2 linked regions of the Macaca fascicularis genome follow. The protein of the gene in region 2 interacts with the protein of the main gene of each other region in a pairwise test. Links are inferred from orthologs where the notes say so. Each region holds a gene or a part of one and is shown on either strand. Other genes may lie near its edges.

Evidence for each region.
Region 1: the proteins of AP2B1 (region 2) and CLTC interact in a two-hybrid assay, tested with the Homo sapiens proteins (2 studies listed by BioGRID, with this or other methods). The link is inferred for Macaca fascicularis from reciprocal best matches to the Homo sapiens genes AP2B1 and CLTC.

Annotation. Positions count from the first base shown.
Region 1 is NC_088390.1:47,021,371-47,025,024, reverse strand, and holds part of CLTC (clathrin heavy chain 1), read left to right. Parts: intron 1-97; coding exon 98-268; intron 269-627; coding exon 628-849; intron 850-2,050; coding exon 2,051-2,071; intron 2,072-3,654. UniProt on the Homo sapiens protein: Clathrin is the major protein of the polyhedral coat of coated pits and vesicles. Two different adapter protein complexes link the clathrin lattice either to the plasma membrane or to the trans-Golgi network.
Region 2 is NC_088390.1:41,928,312-41,931,965, reverse strand, and holds part of AP2B1 (AP-2 complex subunit beta), read right to left. Parts: intron 2,081-3,654; coding exon 1,859-2,080; intron 1,325-1,858; coding exon 1,204-1,324; intron 1,079-1,203; coding exon 983-1,078; intron 1-982. UniProt on the Homo sapiens protein: Component of the adaptor protein complex 2 (AP-2). Adaptor protein complexes function in protein transport via transport vesicles in different membrane traffic pathways.

The sequences.
Region 1 (3,654 bases), about 5.1 Mb from region 2:
ATGTTACCTACCATCTAAGGGGCTCATTGATCGAGGACGGAATATAATGTTAAACAAAATACTGATCTGGCATTTGGATGGCTTTTTTTTTTTTAAGGCTCTGCGAACATCAATAGATGCTTATGACAACTTTGACAATATCTCGCTTGCTCAGCGTTTGGAAAAACATGAACTCATTGAGTTCAGGAGAATTGCTGCTTATCTCTTCAAAGGCAACAATCGCTGGAAACAGAGTGTAGAGCTGTGCAAGAAAGACAGCCTTTACAAGGTTGATAAAGTTGCGGGGCGGGGGCTGTTAAACCAGGCCTAAAATGATGTTACAAGTGATTTCTATAAATAAAAGTATTGGTTTTGTGAATATGAGAACTGACTTTAAGGCAATTTAAGTTAATGGATTTCTTGATTCTAGGGGCTCTCTTATGTTAAGGTCAAACTTGTTTGGGGGGAAAAAAAGGCCTTTAGCTTATCTGTTCTTTGAAAATTTTAATTTAAATGATACAACTAGGAGGCTTTTTTCCCCCTTGCAAAACCAGATTTATATTGGAAAGGTTCCATTGTTTTTCTTGGTTTACTAGTTTAGTATGTTGGGTCTAATGTTTTTTGACTTTCACTATTTTCTTTGAATAGGATGCAATGCAGTATGCTTCTGAATCTAAAGATACTGAGTTGGCTGAAGAACTCCTGCAGTGGTTTTTGCAGGAAGAAAAAAGAGAGTGCTTTGGAGCTTGTCTGTTTACCTGTTACGATCTTTTAAGGCCAGATGTTGTCCTAGAAACTGCATGGAGGCACAATATCATGGATTTTGCCATGCCCTATTTCATCCAGGTCATGAAGGAATACTTGACAAAGGTAATGACTCTTCTAAGTGTATTCAGAAGTAGTTTTCTTGCAGATATGTAAAATTCTACATGCACATTAATTTTTTTAATTTTTTTTATTTAGTAGAAGTCATTTAGTCGATCATAAAATATTCCTGTTCTTTTGAAAAATTTTTAATAGCTGATAAATGACACTGTTTGGAAGGGGAACTCAAATGTAGCTGTTTACCCTCAGTGTATTTATGATTGTGAAAATAATCTATATTTTGTTTTTTTATTTTAAAAACTATTCGATAAATTTTATTTCAAAGTCGCATTTTTCTCAAACTCAGTTCTTGTAACTCAAATAATCATAACTAGTATTGTAGATTCCCTTTTATTTGGTTGGCTCCTGACTTTAGTGATGTCTATGCCTGTTTCCCCTGGGGAAGCTGCATGTATATTCTTAACATCCTTTTAATCTTCACAATTTTTTTTGATAGTTTAACCCCTGATTTAAAAATATCATAGGAGGTGAACACATAAACAAGCTGGGGGTCTAATTGCCTTGTAAAATTCACTATTCATCTTAGTGTCCCTTTTTGATATAAGAATTTACTCACTCTGTCTTCAGCAGTTACTAGCTTTCTCTCTCTAGAACATTTTTAAATGGTTTTAGAGGATCCTTTTTGTCAAAGCAAAAAACATGATTAAAATCAGACTCTCCCAACTGATTCCTTCAGCCTGCCTGAGTTAAGGCGGGGGTAGGGGGAGTGGGAGCACTACCAACAACCCCTACTACACTGAATTTTTCCTCAGGATATCATTTAATTAGATACCATTGTGTCTGTTTCAAGTTTTTAAAGAATTAACATTTTCTGTATTCAATGTAAGAAAAAACATGTTGCCTTGTCTTAGCCAACATGTTTTAGCCATAGATGAGAATAGCTTCTTAAACATAATGCCAACTTGTGAGACCTGTCTCTAAGCTGCTGTTAACCTAAGTGCTGTAAATTTTACTAGTGATTAAGCTGCTTTCTTTCATACTGTAGCATAAATTCTTCTGCAGTAAGCTTTGAAGTTACAGAAAAATCTAAATTTTGCTTCCAGTATGCCCTTTATTTTCACTTCTCTCATACCTTTTTAGTGGTTAGATGTTTCTTCCCTAAACCTTTGTTGCTGATTCTACCTTTTTATGCTCAATATGGAATTTGATTTTTTTTCTAAGCTGCACCTTCTGAATTCCTTTGCAGGTTGATGCAATAAAGGAAAAGGTGAAAGTTGATTCTTTTCCATCTTTAAGTCTGGAGAACTAAGTCTAAGGAATTTGCATGATTTTTTTCCTTCCTTTTCTACACTGCTGCTGCTGCTTTTTCCCCCCAATAAATTTTCACTAAAGCCTCTGCAAGTCCCTTGAAACATAACTTTAATAGAACTGTAGGACATTAGTAGACGTTTGCTACTAATCGGCTAATAGGCTTTAGGAAGGGCAGGAGGCTAATCAGTAGTTGGTTCACAGTCTCTCTTAAATATATTATGAAAAACTGAGTATGGTGAGTTTCCATATTAATTCCAAAGTAACAGGAAATTTCTCTTCCCTGTCAGGGTATCTGGACCCTAATAGGACTATCATAATACTTGAAGTAAATTAAAACAGCCTCTGGTTTTACTTTGTGAGCTTGCCTGACAGTTGTTGAATTTATATATGTATATACATGCCCTAAAAGGCTTTTTGGGGTTTTTTTTTTTTTGGTATTGAAGGACTGTGATCCAGTTTCTGATCTCTTGATTCTTACTAATTTTTTGCTGAAAGTAGATACAAGAGATACTAGCTGCTTCCGAAGAGACTTTCCTCATGTTTCTCCAGGTGTCCAGTTCTTATGGTGCTAGTCCATTTTTAAGAGGAATCAAAACCTTTTTAATCACGAGAGCCAAGCTTGCTATAATTGTTGCTAAGCAACATGAATTACTTTTAACAAAGTATTAACTTCTACTTTCTGTAATAAGGCATACCACTGAAGCTACCTAAAATTTGCTCTCCTATTTATCAGTTGGCTTGTCCAAGGAGGTCAAATTCAGGCACCTTTTGGTTGCTGCTTCCTTCATTGGCTTGTCTCCATCCCAATATGAATGAAACAAACTTACGTCTGTTATCAAATTGTGGTTAGAAAAGGGTGGGAAGGTAAAGGAGAGTTGAAACAAATTGAAAATAATTTGGGTGGGGGACAATGCCTTGGGATTATGTTGAACCAAACTGGAGTCACCACTGGAACTTAGGGCAAACCTGAGTAAAATGCATTGTGTGTGAGACCCTTCAGCAGCTAGTAAGCAAGGCAGTTAGAAAGCGTGTGTGTGAAAAACAGGTAATTGAACTGCAGTGTTATGCATTGTTTTAAATGGAGCATGTACAACAGTCATTGCAATTACATCATACTATTTTTGAAACTCTTATAGCATTGCTGTGGGCTGTGTGTGTTTCTTGAGAGCCTGTATAGCAAGTCATCTTCAGATCACACTTCTTGCTTCAGTACTTTTGCCTTTTTTTCATGCACACATACACCAAAATAACTGACTGCATGTTACTTTTCCTCTGCAGCATATTGCAGTCTTTGTGGAAAAGCCTTTTACATTTTAGTGAATTTTCAGTAGTACAGATGGAACTGAATTCATTGACATGCTTACCTGTAATTTTTCTTTTTAAATCCAAGGATCAGAAACTTTTGTTACAGCTCTTAACAAAAGCTTGTGTTCTTAAAAGCCTTCTATGCTTTTTTTTTTTTTTTTTTTTTTTGAGCAATCTAAATTGGATCAGTGGAAACAAAAATTGAAAGTCCCTGTGCCAGAGGCTGTCCCATCA
Region 2 (3,654 bases):
GTCATAAGACAATGGCAGTCTCACAGAAGAGATGGCTATGTACACTAGTGAAGAGAACAAAACCACCTTACTCTTAGGCTACCAAAATCTCTCTGAAAATTATCTATATTAATACTAAGTACACGGCTAGTAAGATATGTTAATGTAAAAAGAAAAGAAAAACAAGTTGTGATGTGTGGTGATAGTGGTAATAAAAAAGATGTAACGTATCAAGATCCAATAAAAAGACCTTCCCATTTCTCCAATGAAGAGAAACAAACATATTAAACATCTGAATCAAGTGAGCTAGCAGAACCAGGAATAGAATCCAGGATCAGCTAACTTCTTGCTGTAACAGCCAGTCTACCAAATGATTTATCAACAGAAACTACATAAAGCAGTACTAAATTGAAAAAAACAAAGAAGGCCAATTAGTAGCAGGTATTTCATAGAAGATCCTCTGACACACATCTGCCTCCTTTTGTTGCTATAAAGTACTGGTTAGGCTGGGCATGGTGGCTCAGGCCTGTAATCCCAGCACTTTGGGAGGCTGAGACGGGCGGATCACGAGGTCAGGAGATCAAGACCATCCTGGCTAATATAGTGAAACCCTGTCTCTACTAAAAATACAAAAAATTAGCCAGGCGTAGTGGTGGGCGCCTCTAGTTCCAGCTACTTGGGAGGCTGAGGCAGGAGAATGGCGTGAACCCGGGAGGCGGAGCTTGCAGTGAGCCGAGATCGCACCACTGCACTCCAGCCTGGGCGACACAGCGAGACTCCGTCTCAAAAAAAAAAAAAAAAAAAAAAAAAATTATTCCCTCTGAGAAGAGAGTCTAGGTAGGGAAGGGAGGGACCAGAGACAGCTGCTTTCCATCAAAAATTATTTAACATTTAAATGGTGTGCTTTATTAGTTTGATAAATTTAAAAATTATTTTAAAGAAAAAAGTGAAGAGAACTCTCAGAATCCCCAATACATGATCCTAACTACCATCAGACACTTGCCTCCACCTTGATGGCACACCGTCCAATGGCCCGCACAGCTTTTCGAACAAAGTCAACATCTACCTCTGTGGCATATTCCTTCAGTTCTGCCAGAACCTGTTAAATGGAGGAAGTGGTTAATCATTAAGGATTCTCAAATAGCAATCTCACAGCCTAGCTTCTTTAAAGGCCAGACCTTAAGAGCTAAATCATTATCAACTTGAGTCTGCATAAAGTCTGACCTGAGCAATGTTGGCTTGAGATGCCAAACGAATCATGATGTCCAACTTCTCTAGTTTAACATAGATGGGATCATTGTACTTCACAAAGAAGACTTTGATTTCCTGCTTCAAGATTTCAGGCCTAGGGTACACAGAAACAGAAGAAAGGAAGGTGAAGGCATATACTGATACACCCTTCTGAGACTGTATTAATACCTAATCTGTGCCTCTCTGCTCTCCTCTCGCTCCACTCAGGAAAAAAAAAAAAATGCATAAACTTCCTCTATATGCCTCTATTCTTATCAGTTCCACTTGGCAGATTATTTTTATCCTTTTTAAGCATCAGGGCACACGTTGCCATGAAGTACTGCTAAAAGAACAACAATCTGGCTCTAAACTACAACGTGAACCATATCAACCAGGCACTAGACAGTGTATCAGAAAGAGACCCTTCAGAAAACAAACTGGACTGTGCAGCAACACATGGCATTTATTATAGAAATACTGTGATATCAACTGTTAGCCTCCTGGTGCTAGGCAAGCAAGTTGTTCTGCCATATAACATTTTCATTTCCATATATTAAAAAGAGATTAACACTAGCCTAATTAACATTAACATTATTAAGCTTAATGCAAAATCACAAAGACTTTAATCAACACTTCACTATTTTCCAACCTTTTCTGGACAATTAAGTTGATGTTCCTCAGGGCGACATACTGCACTTCTGGCTCCCCAGACAGCAAAGTGACAAGTGGAGGGGCTAATTTCTTCAGCAGCATATTGTAGTAGTCAGAATCCTTAGGTAACAATTCTAGAAACTTCATTAGGACTTTTACTGCTGAAAGCACCACTGCTGAGTTGGCATGGGATAGCCGGGGAGTTACCCGCTCACATATGCTGAGGGCAAAGAATGAAAATTAATATCATGAATTATAATTTCTTTGCTGAATTCATTCTATAAGGTAATATGTCAGAGTCTAATGACCCAAGTATCAAAAAATTCAAGAATTAGTTAGAAAAGTCAAAGCTCTATGCTTAGGTAAAACTGGGATCTGACAATGCAGAAGCCTCATTCTCAGCAAACTACAGGCAGAGCAGGGACATCAGAAGACTTCAGAAAACCAGCAATAAGGGATGTTCAAACTGGAAAGAAACTAGCATTACCCAAGACACTTGAGCTCACACCATTTACCTTCTTGTTTTATAGTCCTCTTTGTCTCCCCATATTATGTTAGGGCTCCCTGCCTCTCAGCCCATTTCTACTCAACCTATAGGAAGTCAAATTAAGCATTCTGAGAGTTATTTCATAGGAAGTGCCAGCAACCCAGTTATGGCTGAAGATTTCATTGTAAGATACAGAAGGAGGCAGGTTGGTAGGGAAAACAATCCAATCTCCTGTCTTGAGGATAATGAGAATAAGGGACTCTCTGAAAAGGGTTTGTTTTTTAAATAGCAGGACACCACTACTATATTTTCCCATCTCCCTGCTCTCCCAGCCCCTGCCACCTACACTTACATGACTCATAAAATGGTAGATATTTAATTATCTGTTGAGGGTTCTTTAGAAATTAATCCAATTTTGATAGCTTGGGCAACACGAGTAGCTAACTTACTGTATTAAAGAAACAAGATAAATAGGCGGTGTTTCTCTCTTCCTCCTATTCCTGACTTCCTTTGGGTCTTTATACAAATGCCACCTTCTCAGTGAGGCCTTCCCTGGCCATCTTTTAAAAATAAAATACAACCCCCCACCCCCAAATGTCCAGCATTTCTTAGATTTCTTAGATAACGGCACTCTCTACTTTACTTTCTTGTTAGTACTTATCACCATCTCACATATTACATATTAAACTATCTATACATATAATATATTATACTATCTATACATGTTATATATTCCTACCCCCAACCTTCAAATAAGTGATCCCAGAGGGCCATGACTTTGTTCACTGTTGTATCCTCAGGGCCTAGGAACACTGCCTAGCACATAGTATGCGCTTAATAAATATTTGCTGAGTGAATGAATGAATGTGATGTCAATGGCCAACAGAAGAAAACAGTAATTCTCAGTAATTTCCAGACTGTATTTGTACTTTCAATGATGGAAAGAAACTATCAGAGTGAGCTTTAGTTCAGTCTAGAGGGACTATTTCCCAGATAAGTGAAGATCACTTACATTCTAGTAGCTTGGAAATCAGCTTCAGCCAGACCAGTTCTTATCTACCATAATTAAAATATACCAACTTTAATGAAGAGTCAACATTTCTTCAGAAGTACTTTGCCTAGTACAGTGCCTGCATATACAAAATGCTCAATAAAAATTAGAGATAATTCCAACTTTGTAAACTAAAATGTATGTATGTGTAGATGAAATTTAGTAGTCAATTTCTAATAACTAAAGAAAATTTGCAACATTACATGGTAACAGGCTGAGCAGAACAATCTAGGTGTGCCTTCTAAAATCTTCAAAT